Nothobranchius furzeri: one gene and its partners. The protein of the gene in region 1 purifies or fractionates together with the protein of each later gene. This does not show direct contact. Links are inferred from orthologs where the notes say so. Each region holds a gene or a part of one and is shown on either strand. Other genes may lie near its edges.

Evidence for each region.
Region 2: the proteins of paxip1 (region 1) and pagr1 purify together in Homo sapiens (affinity purification with mass spectrometry; 6 studies listed by BioGRID and IntAct, with this or other methods). This does not show direct contact. The link is inferred for Nothobranchius furzeri from reciprocal best matches to the Homo sapiens genes PAXIP1 and PAGR1.
Region 3: the proteins of paxip1 (region 1) and ncoa6 purify together in Homo sapiens (co-immunoprecipitation; 6 studies listed by BioGRID and IntAct, with this or other methods). This does not show direct contact. The link is inferred for Nothobranchius furzeri from reciprocal best matches to the Homo sapiens genes PAXIP1 and NCOA6.

Annotation. Positions count from the first base shown.
Region 1 is NC_091751.1:66,100,602-66,104,791, reverse strand, and holds the start of paxip1 (PAX-interacting protein 1), read right to left. Parts: upstream 2,803-4,190; 5' UTR 2,658-2,802; coding exon 2,577-2,657; intron 924-2,576; coding exon 789-923; intron 1-788.
Region 2 is NC_091756.1:34,661,715-34,665,704, forward strand, and holds pagr1 (PAXIP1-associated glutamate-rich protein 1), read right to left. Parts: upstream 2,828-3,990; 5' UTR 2,680-2,827; intron 2,475-2,679; 5' UTR 2,444-2,474; coding exon 2,272-2,443; intron 1,390-2,271; coding exon 1,056-1,389; intron 971-1,055; coding exon 882-970; intron 803-881; coding exon 567-802; 3' UTR 450-566; downstream 1-449. Other genes in the region: kinesin-like protein KIF22, read left to right, coding at 3,569-3,756, 3,832-3,959. UniProt on the Homo sapiens protein: Its association with the histone methyltransferase MLL2/MLL3 complex is suggesting a role in epigenetic transcriptional activation. However, in association with PAXIP1/PTIP is proposed to function at least in part independently of the MLL2/MLL3 complex.
Region 3 is NC_091755.1:60,747,839-60,751,890, reverse strand, and holds the start of ncoa6 (nuclear receptor coactivator 6), read right to left. Parts: upstream 2,828-4,052; 5' UTR 2,699-2,827; intron 1,296-2,698; 5' UTR 1,216-1,295; coding exon 972-1,215; intron 829-971; coding exon 673-828; intron 581-672; coding exon 458-580; intron 1-457. UniProt on the Homo sapiens protein: Nuclear receptor coactivator that directly binds nuclear receptors and stimulates the transcriptional activities in a hormone-dependent fashion. Coactivates expression in an agonist- and AF2-dependent manner.

The DNA of each region.
Region 1 (4,190 bases):
CGTCTTTTCCGGCAGTGCGAGCTATTTCTCTCCAAGAATGATTAACAACATGTTGATCACGGTGATCTCTGAGAGCTGAAGCATACAAATGTCTGTATTTACCAACCTCTGCCATACTAGATCTTGCCGGTCCGCCATGTTTTTCCGCGTCCAACCGTTCGCGTGGTTAGAAATTTTCCGAGGTGCGCGTTGCGGAAATCTTGGGCCGTGCGGAGACGCGGTGGAGGGGCGTGGTTGTTAAAATGACGCAACTTTTCCGCGCGGAGCCGTGCGGACCTCGCGGACGTGTCAAGCATAAACCAACCTTAAGGGTACGTAGACCGACAAATGGCGTCGAATGTGTTTATGAACCTCCTAACCAAAGCTTAACGCGAAAACATCACCTTCGGTTCTCATCAGAACTAATCGCTTCTTTGTATTTGCTGGTTCTGAACAACAATCCACACTACACCATTCTCCGTCTCATTCACCTTAGTTACACCATACATTTAGTTAAAGTCAGTCTAGTTTAATCTGTTTAGTAATAAATTTTTAGACTTTTGAACTTGACTCTCTCTCTTCTGTTGTCTCTGAGTGAATACGAAGCTGTTATCTAATCCCTGCAATAAAAAGTACCAATCTTCTGGTTTAAATAACCTCACAGATCCATAAGGTTGATTTCATATTTCCTATGGAATCCTACGCCTTACGGCTCATTAAATAACATGTAATTTAAATCATTACAATCTCTTTTATTGCTGCTTTCTTTGGGAGGTGGAAACATGCTGTGACACTGACAACATTGTTACCTTGACAACAGGCAGGTCAAACACCTCTCTTGACTCGCCCACCTCGGGGTTATCTCCATCCTCAGCTATGATGTGAGTAGCCAGGGCATTGTAGGACACTTCCTTCCCCTTTCCTGCTTTCAGCAGCTGCACCACCTGCAGCATCAGGAGGATAGAAGCATCACAGGGTCACCACATGTGTGTGTTTTAGTCCACACAACCATTACAGGGGTTTTATCTAGGTTGGATTTTAATTTTGACTTTCTACTTACAAAACTTAATTCACTAAATAATCAGTTTGACACTAATTAGCATTTCTTATTGGCTACTAAAGATAGCTGACAACAATTTTGTTACATCAAGGAAGCTGTCAGGCCTTTCTTCTTTAAAACAAAAAGTTCATTTATTTACCAAAACAAACAATGATTGTCTCTGAAAAGATAGAAGGAACACCAGCGAAAACCAAGTCATTAAAACAAATGACAGAAAAATCTTCTCATGTGTGATGCGACAGGATAGGGGCGGGTAGGAACAGTAGGGAGACAGGAGGGGACATTACAGTTAACTGAGATTAAAGCAAAGAACAAAACTTATAGCAAATCAATATGTAGATAATGTCTACAATTTGGATTAACAATTTTCTATTGGACTGTTACCATGGCGTTCAGGTTATTATTCTGGTAGGGTAAACTGACACAGATTTATGAAAAATGTTGATTTTATAAAACTATAAAACAGAAAATTTGGGAAAATAAAATGATGTGACGGGTTTTATAGGTGCCTGGTTTGGTGTGTGCTCAGACTGTTTACTATTAACCCTCAGTAGTGTGTACCCAAACCTGAATGCTGTGAAAACAGGTTCACTAAAACAGGTATTACTGTACTAGGTGTTTCTGACCTAAACACGCTGCAATTATTTAATGAAAATATTGCTATAATTTATTATAAATCATAGCTGGAAAGATTTTAGGTACGTTTCCACAAAGTGACCCAGAACCTTTCAAAATAAGAGTTTATTAACCCCAACCCGTCAACGGAATACGATCTGCAGGCTTATTATGTTATTATTTGATAATAACATAAATAATCTGATCACTGAAATAAATCTGGGTTTGGCCACAATAAGAACTGATATAACAAATTGTGTGTGTGTGTGTGTGTGTGTGTGTGTGTGTGTGTGTGTGTGTGTGTGTGTGTGTGTGTGTGTGTGTGTGTGTGTGTGTGTGTGATCAAATTGTAAGCCGATGTTTATTTTCTTTCGCGCATGCGTGGAACGAATAGAAGCGTTAGCCGGAAAAGACCTAGCGCTGTCGGGGCTTCAGAGCGTGGGAGGCCTCAGAGTGCAGGAGATTGGCACCAGCGCGTAAAACAGCGGTGACGCATGCGCTATAGTCAACACCCAGACACTAGCCATTATACGTTGAGTATAAACATTGTTGACAGTTACAAGCTAACGTGAAACGTTTCCATGAAGCATTGAGCAGATAAACAACCTGTATGCAGACACAGACATTTGTTCCTCAGCTCCACCACCCCCACACTGTAGACAGTAAGCTAGCAGCTAGGCTGGAGTCTCTCCTCAGTCTAAAGGCTGAGCTAAAGTGCAGCGCAGAGTACGATCAGCTCAAAATGAGCGATCAACGAACCTGAAGGAAAACGTCACACAACTGACAACACAAAGAGGAGCGATCCCACTGTAGCATGTTGTCGCGTTAGCATGATGGTTAGCTTCATCTAGATGGAATCCGTTTAGCAAGTTAGCATGCTACCAACATAGCTGCTGAAAGGAAGCTAACAGGACCTGCATACCTTCTGGTCAATGTCTCCGACCACGTAGAATTTGACATCTTTAAAAAGTTCCTCCGGAACCTTCCATTCCTCTTCAGACATGACTGTCCATGAACGGACGGGGAGCGCGTCAGTGAACTGGGAGAGTCTGGGAGAGGGAAGTTTGTGAGTGCTGCTGGCTTGCAGAATACTGACTCCAGCGCCAAATCTCTGAGCGCGCGCGCGCGCCTTGGACCGCAGCGTTCTGATCTCACGCGGAAGAGGAGGGGTCAAATCTGACCCTCTCCCATGTGGTGTGTTGCATAAAGTAAAAACTTTAAACGTCTTTTGTTAAACGCACTGAAGGTGAATAATAGTATGGTATGCAAATAGTTTCACTACATGATGGAAAGAAGAGGACATGTTTATCCAAACAAGACTGCGCGGTTTAAACCTAGGATAAATACCCGTTTTGGTTTTTACTCATGTATGGGTTTAGAGGTCACTTTCGATCTGTTAGCTGTTATGATTTCCAGGTGTTCAAAGATGCATAGTGAAGTGCCATTTATTGGCCCTTAGTAATGAATAGTTAGGTTTTCTCTAAATAAAATGTAACAATAAGTTTGTAATATATATATATATATATATATATATATATATATATATATATATACTTGTCTTTGATTATACTTAAAATAAACATTAAATTCCAGCTGAACTACACTTGCATGGTACTTGTGCCTATGTATGAGAACTCTGTATGTTAGGGAGCCAATTTCAGAATGGAGTGGAAAGCATCTAATGAGTATGAGTATGCTGTGTTCTGCTTTAATTCTGTTGGAATCTCTGCTCTCTCCAGCTTGACTGCTGTGGGTAGGAAAAGCCGCAGTTCATTCCTGTTTTGTCCTGATGAAGGATGGAGGTAAACTGGAAATTCTGGTGGATCATATTTATGAACATGATTCACTAGTGACTTCCATTTTGCCTCCTAATCATGGTTGCCATCAGACACGGAGCAGTCCAGGATAGAGAGCTGATGCCACCACAGACCCACATATACCCATGCCCACTCCTAAACAGGTAACATTTGATTTACAATATTTACTGTTCACACACAGACATCAAAGAAGTGTGTTGTACCCTGTGGTACAAGATGGCTCTTGAACCACCTTGCCATCTGACAACTGTGGTCAGTCACCAGCACATCAACATTCAATTCTGTTTATTTATAAAGCACCAATTAACAACACAAGTCATCATCCCAAAACAATTAACAAAGCAAACATTCCAATTGAACCTACAAAGTAAACAGTGCATTGAGTTCAAGTTATTATCCCAATTAGTCAAAGGTTTTCTATCTGAGGAAACCCAGCTGATTGCAAGGCATTTACAGCTGCCCCTCATACTAAGCAAGCACGTAGTGACAGTGGAGAGGAAAACTGAGTCTGACACTTGCAGTGGCGGCTCGTCCATAGGGGGCACTAGAGCACCCTGACGAGAAGGGAGAAGTAAAGTGAAAAATACTGCATTTGATATACATGTATTTAGTATAATTGTATCACATTTGCTTAATTGTGTGTTACTCCATCTGATTTTTTTCACACATCATTTTCACCAGCTGTCTCTCATTAAACAATGAATTTCATTCAACAGATT
Region 2 (3,990 bases), on another chromosome or scaffold:
TTTATGGAAATTGGCTCCTTGCACCTTACCTTTTTATTCTGCTACTTCTACTTAGACCTTTTTGTTATTATTTACAGACACTTGATATTGACTTAAAAAATTGTCTTTCCTTTTTTTTAGGATATTTGACAAAATTTTTATTTAGTTTTAATTTTCGTAATTTTGTTTCTGTTAATTACAGTTGACTAATCTGTAATAGCTACATGCTTTTTTTTTAAATCACACCAAATACATGTTTGGGTCCCAGGAGCTTAAAGAAAACTGAGCACAGCTGCATTCAAGTTGGGGTTAGGGTTAGTTGATCACTAAGGAAGAACTTAGTCCTTTTCTGTTATTTAGATTCAGATTATGATTTGCCTTCTTATATGTACACCTTAACATGAAAACTGAGGTTCTAGATTTTAAACCCAACTTCTTTTTAATTAGTTATCATGACCCAGTTAACAGTGTTAAAAGTTAAAAGCTTTATTGCCATCATACAAAAAACATACAAAACGTGAACATTAGAAAATGAAAGTCTTGCGAGAGCCCTGAGAAGCTCTTGATTGCTTCTGGGACTGAATACTTCAGTATCTCCTCTGTCTCGGGGAGAAGATGGTGTCTGGGTTGCTGTCTCGCTCCCTCTCCTTCTCCCGCTCCTTCTGGCTGTTTGGGGAAAGGGCCTCCTCCACCTTCTTCTCGGTCTTGAATAGATCTCTGCCCGTGCGCCTGATTTGCTCCTCAATTTTGCGGTGGCGCTTCATGTCCGACAGCACTTTGTCCAGACGAGCTTCTCTCTTCACAGAGGAGCGAGCTGACGAGCCTGGAATGCAGGGAGGAAACAGTTTGGCTTTCCTCGCTGAACCCAGGAAATCAGGATATAAAAAAATAAATCATCAAACCTGGTGTTCTGCGTCTGTTTATGAAGGAGTTTTTAGGAGTTGAATGAAGTTGCTCCTCATCAAAGTCAAACTCTGTTGGAGACGGAGGCCTGGGGGTGGGGGGGTGGGGGGGGAGTGGTAAATCAAATTTATCCAAATAACAGAAGATAAGAAAAAGAAAGGAGAGCTACTGACTTGCATTCCCTTTCCAGCCTCTCCCTTTCCTTTGCTGCCTCCTCCTCTTCGTCTCTCTCGGGTGAAGGGGTGCGTTCAGGTGTGGGAGGCCTTCTAGGAAGGGGCACAAAGTTCAATTCCAGCATCTCCCCTTTAGCGAGGATATCATAAAGTCTTTTGATCTCAGGAGGAGCAGGCATCCAGTTTTTGGGGTCCTCCATTTCCTCGTCGCTGTAGGGAAGCTCCCACTCGTCGTCTGCTCCGGCAGCCAGCTTCCCCTCTTCAGCATCCCCTCCTGCTTCCCCCTGAGGTTCATTCTCTTGTGTCCCTCCTTCCACCACCTCTGTGTTCTCATCTGAGAAGACAGAAAAGTACACAAATGTATTTTTTGACACAATGTAATAAGAAGTTATTTATGTTTGTCTTATTTTATGTTGCAAGCACTCTCATTTTGTTCTTCTTTACTAATGAAGTACACTTCTGCATCTTCCAAAGCCTGTGTAATATGTTGGTATTTAAAAAAGACACTTTGATGCCCACTTACTTCCTGCTTGGATATCTGGACATGTTTTATTCATGAGACTGACTCAGAAGAAATTAGTTTATTTAGCTGGTGTCTGTGTTTTAACAACTAAATGTTACAAAACACGAGTTTAATTATTTTCCTATTCATGGTGTCCTAGATTAATTCTACTGTGGTAAATTCAGATACTTAAACCCTCATAAGTTTTATTGGTCACTCCTTCACCTGCTGGTGTAATCCTGTATCTGCACTTGTCTTAAAATGTGAACTCTAGCTATTTTAAGCATCACATGATTGCTCTGCTATTACGAGTTATGGTTTTGAGTATTTATTTCAAAAGTTCGTTCGTTCAAAACATAGAAGTAAGGAGAATTTGAGTAAAGTGAACACAGATCATTTTACAAGGTCTGGTGTGTCAAGTGTGTTTGTGGCATCATTTGACTTTTTTTGGTGTATTTTTTTTATAACTGCAAATGATAAATACAAGTGTGTCCTAACTGAAGAAGTAATCTAGTTAAATACTTGGGAATTAAATATTGACCAAAAACACAATATTTCTGATTATTATTCACAATTGAGCAGCCCTATTCTTTATGTGGCTTGTTATTTACTGATACAGCCTTTGAGTGATTGCTTTTGGCCACATCTGGTGCTAATCAGACGGATTTCTGACTCCAAGAGTTTACAAAGTTATTTATCCTTTAAGGGAGTTACCTGTGTCATCCTTTGCAGTGGTGTCTTTCTCCTCTGTGACAGCTGTCATCTCTGAGTCCTGTTGCTTCTCTAGGCCGCCTTCCTCCTGGTCTGCAGCAGATTTCTCTGGATCATTCACACCTAGAGCCTCAACACCCTCTCTAAGAGAAGAGTTGGTGACTTCAGTCTGCATCCTACCTGCTGCTGGACAACTTTAATAGGATCTGCGAAACAGCAGCATGTTTGATAATAATTAGCAATGGGAGATAATGGCAGTTATTATTTACACGGGTAACGAGTCAAGTTACGCCTGTTACTAAAGCGTAATAAGCAATTTGAGAATATTTAGGTTTATTTGTTTTATTCCTACTGGGCTAGCTAACGTCAAACCGCACCGCAGAAATAAAGGAAATCCTTCATTGTTATTACCGATTTGTCGTGAGTCAGCGTTGGTCACGTTAAAATTTGATTTTAAAGTAATTCCCAAGTGATGGGATCATCATAGCTCTCCATGAGGCTAGCTAAGTGCATTAAAAGATTCAACATGGACATAAACATAGCGCCATTTTGGCTGAATAGGTTGCTTGACGATGTTGTCGCGTTTAACCGGGCTCCAAATCCCGCTGATTTAAATGCGTATGGCTAAGTCATTCCAGGGCTTCTACTGTCTAAAATGTGAAAGGAGATGAAGTGGAAATCTACGCTAAACGTAACTTCCTGTTAGCTGTGCCGTGGCTAAACGACTCGTATTGTTTGGAGGGGAAAAGTAAAACCTCTTTAATTTAACTTTTACTCAATATACTAGTTTTTAAAATATACTATTAAATACAACAAAACTACAATTATGTTTTATGAATTATTTAGCGCTTAATGAGATCGCTGAAAGGCGCCAGCGTTCACGCGAGCTCTGATTGGTTAAAACCCATTTCCGGTCTCAGTCTTTTCGTTTAAAATTTTTTCAGTTAGAAGTTTTGGCCCATCGCCATTGTTAAAAGGAGAAGCTGGGAATGTTTGGACGATAAAAACGCGTTTTTTGGAAGACGTTTTTAACGGTAAGCTTTCCCCAATAAACTTAAAAAAGCGGAGTGGCAGATTTCGAGGAAACATTAGTTTGGAAACAACATTACCTCCTTTCGTGTGTTTGCTTCTCGTGACGCAATGATGAAAACCTAGAGCTTACCTTCAAATACTCCATTTATGCTCTGTTCATGCATTTACTGGTGTGTATTATACTAAATATTCGCGTGGCATAGAGTTTGATAAAGTGGATGAACATCACTCTGGCTTTTTCGTTATCCAGGCCTTTGTTTGTGTGAAGATGGCGCAGCGTGTGTTGGTAGCAGATGGTGGAAACAAGAAGACCTCCCGGGTTCGGGTAGCGGTTCGTCTGCGGCCTTACATGAGCAAACAAGATGATAAACACGAGGGTCCGTGTGTCAGAGGCCTGGACTCCCAGAACCTGGAGATAGTCAACTGGAGGAATGCAACAGAAACTGTGAAATACCAGTCAGTATCACTCTCCCAAGTGTCCTCCTCTCCTCACGACATTTGACTCTAAACATGGTTTGGTTTTTGTTCCAGCTTCGATGTTTTCCACGGAGAGGACACAACACAGGAAGAGGTTTTCCTCTCATCAGTGAAGTCGATTCTACCAAATATACTGAAAGGACAAAACGCCAGCGTGTTTGCTTATGGGCCAACAGGAGCTGGTGTGTTCTGGTGCCATTGTCACTGGAATAA
Region 3 (4,052 bases), on another chromosome or scaffold:
AATTAAAAAAATACAAAATATCAAGTAATATTTATGTTAAACATTGTTAGAAACAATGCAACACAAAAATTCACATGAACCAAATAAAGATGAAGAAATTTTAAAATAAAATACAAGCTTACTGTGATGAAAGTTTGGAAACCTGCGTGTTAATAATATGTTAGAAGCTAATGGCATATAAGGGAATTAGCGTTAGCGTTAACAAGCGTTGATATGACTTCACTGTCGCCCAGAATATTTTACAGAGGATGTTTTTCTGCTCAGCATCAGACTCCTTAAACCTAAACCAGGCCAGTATAAATTATGTCTTCGTCTTCTCATCAACTTGCTCTGCGCTGAAGCTGCTGCTGCTTTCGACAGCATTCATGTGTGATCACGTTTGGACAGTAAAGCCAAAATCTCTACTAGTAGACTAGAGTACTGTTAATTTTTTTGTTAAACTTTTGGAAAAACTTACCTGGGCCAGGCTGACCTGGAAAGCCACCATCCATTCTCATCTGACCAGGTGCACCAATTGGTCCATTCACTCTGACTTCTTGTCCTCTGTTTGGTCCCACAGCCACATTAATTGCTCCCTCTCCTGAACACCAAGATTAAATCATTGCATAAATGAATTTTTATGAAGACAAAAGGAGGAGATCTGCATGAATTCTTTTTGGACTGAGCTATTACCTTCTATTTGCACAGAGAGAATACCCAGGTCTCTGAGCTGCTGCTGGTTGTTTTGGGCCAACAACCGGAGTCGCTCAGCAGCATCCCGGGGAATGTTGAATGTGACACGGACACTGTTCCACGGCTCAACATGTTTAGGCTGCAGCCGTTCTGGGCCTAAAATAAAGTGTATTTAGTTAGTGTTGGTTGGAAAATGCTTAACAGGTCAGTGCAAGATATATATTTTTGAATCAAATACACGTAAATGAGCTCAAATAAAACAAAGTAACAAAACAAATTGAATAAAAATAAACACAAACCCAAATTAAGAACATCAGGTATCCCATTGAGGATAGTTTCTAGTTTTTGAGTGAAGTTCTCATCATCCATGTTTCCTTGAAAGGCAACAAAGACTGTGAAGTCCTCCTCTCCATTTTCTCTAGTGTCTTCTTGCTCCATGGGTCCAACTTCTTCTGTTACGTTGCATTTCTCAGAGCTATCTGCGTCTTCTCCAGAATCTTCTCCAACACCAGAGTCTCTGTCCGATTCACCATCAGGCTCCATGTACGCAGTCTTCTGGGATGAGGAATGTTCAGCAGCTATCCTCCCTTCCTTGTTAGGAGTGGTGTCTAAACCGTTTTATGCTGTAATTACAGATTATTCAAACTTTAGATTACAGCATTTTCTTATCAAATACTATTATTCCATACTTTGCCTATCTCAAATGTATGTACTGCCCAGAAAAGTCTATGGTATTGATTAATTTAATAATTATTTGATAAATTATGCTTTTTCTATAAACTGTTTCAGCTTAAAGTAAAAAGCTGCTTACGCTATGGGTTCCCAATTTTCTACAATTTCGTAGAATGCATTTAAAATGGAAAGTTTTGGGAACATAACAGCTCATCTTAGAATATTTTTAATTTCCCATTAATATATTGAGACCTTCGACAGTTCTTAAAGAGCAAGTCACCCCCAAATCTACTTTTTTTTTTGCTGATAAACTATATAAATGTGTGTCTAAATGTGCTGCAGACACGTGTAGTCAATAATTTGGTACTTCAGTGCATCTTAGTTAAAATTGAAATATTCTGCCTAAAACTGTCAATGTTGCGCCGTTGTCAGGTAAAAACTCTGCACTGCATTTGAATTTAAATCTGCCACCGCTATTGGCTAAGAGGTATGCTATGATGTAAACTGGTACATTATGATGTCACAGTGCCGTTGTGAGCCTGTGTGTGTGTGTGTGTGTATTTGTTAGTGGCTCCGCCCTCTCGGTCTGCTAGGCAACAGCATTTGTTGCATTTTTCAAACATGAAGAGGGAGTGAAATAAGTTTCTTGTAGGGGGTGACTTGCTCTTTAATTGTTTTAGAAACCCTGAACACAGCCAAGAAACAACAGTTATAGTAAGTTGCTAGAGGCTGAAGAGTATTCTATATAACATTCGATTCGAGTAAAACAAAGACAAGCAAAAAAAGTCATAATTTCTATTTGCAAACCAGAAAAAGAAGCAAATAAATGAGTTTGTAACTCAATGAAGCAGACACCTGGAGGTGACATCACTGACCGGTGATTAGCTTATTAAGCAGAGGTGCTCTGATTGGTAGTCACATTACTTTCAGAGTTGTGAGATTTCTTGATATGGGAGTTAAACTTGTTAGTAATAATATAATATATTTTTATAATGATGATCATCCTGGTTTCAGTCACCGGCGCTGCAGGAGTGTGGGCCTTAACGCAGTAAGCTAACATTCAAACAAAATCCACAAGTAAACTCTGTTTCTTACCAAATTGTGCATTTTCATCGTGGTGCAATTAACACTTACATTTCAAATGTATACGTTTTAGCAGCACACAGAAAGAGTGAAATTGAAAGTGGTTCCTATTGGTTTTCCGAAAAATCCTGTTAGCATCAGTTAGCTATGTAGCTAGATGTCAGTCTCCAGACGCGAATGAATCCAAGCAGCGAACCGTAGCTGGTTTAATTTGCCTTTCAACAGTTTTCGTTAATAAAAACAAGGAGAAAGGAATATACAAAGACCTTACCAAACATATCCATATACGAATACGTTCAACTAGTCGACATCTGTTTGCTAGACAGGCTAACAAAATAGGATGAATGTCATAAGCAAGCTAACTAACAAAGGTTGTTTCCGGTTTTCTTTTTCAAAATAAAAGCTCAAAAGGTAAACGCACTCCTTAGGTTAACAAGTTCATGACTATTTCCTAAATAGTCCTGAATAAACTGAGCTGTTTTATCTATTTTTCAAATTGTATTAAATGCAAGTATGATGACAAATTGCGGAACACTGCTTATGTGGGTATGTGCAAACATTTTTATTTCACAAATTTGAACAAAACCGATTTTTCCTTCAATTATAAACACAAAATAATCAAACATCAGGTGTGCAAATGTGTGCATTAACAGTACACAAGACAAGACTCTAAGATTAGAAACCTATTTGATCAATTTAGTGTGAGAGAAAAACGTGTTCGATTTTACTTCTATTATTCCGCTTAATTGCACCAAAAACACATGACACCCATCCCGAAGAGTTCCAGGCTGAATATAGATTTTAGGAATAAAAACATCTACAGTCAAACAGTGATGTAAAAATTGATTTTACATTAAACTGTTTTAATTCCCATTCAGAGAACAAGGGTGACCCTCTCTCAAATAATTCTAATGATTTTCAAGAAAAGCAGCAAATAAACCACTAAAACTATATTAAGAATGCAAAAAGAACAGTAACAATATAAGAAATACTTTAAAATCAATAAAACCATCTCAGTAAAAGTAGTAAACCAAGATGTGGAAATCACATTCCTGTTAAACATCTCTGTCTGGGTATGTTATCACCTAACATGTTCTCAAAAAGAAGGTAAAACTCCAGCAGCTGTGCAAGACAACATAATCACAGTTACATGCCACACTACAAGCAAGGGAAGGACAGTTAGACAAAGACAAAGCAAGTCTCTTCACTTGTCATCTAGCAACATCCTTGGTAATATTTGGAATAATTGACAAAAAACATTAAAAAATAAGTTGACTGTTAATGCATGTACTGCACACTATGCATTTTTTTGTACATTTTACATTATTGGTTTATGATTTCATTTATTGCTCAATAATTTACCTCTGAAATTCTGACTAAACAGTGATAGAGAAAATACTCTCAAACATTCCTCTCATAAGTTCAGCAATTACATTATTTCATTTGCAGCTAACTTTAGTGCCACTGCTGGGTGGGCTTTTACTTTGAAAACCTTGTACCGTGTGACTCGAGCAAACAGATGTGAGGTGAACTCACAGAAAGCTAAGTGGATTTTTATTTAAATGGCAGTTTGCTGTGAGATTTTGATGACTGTAGTAGTTTGATCATTTTTATTCCACCTTTTC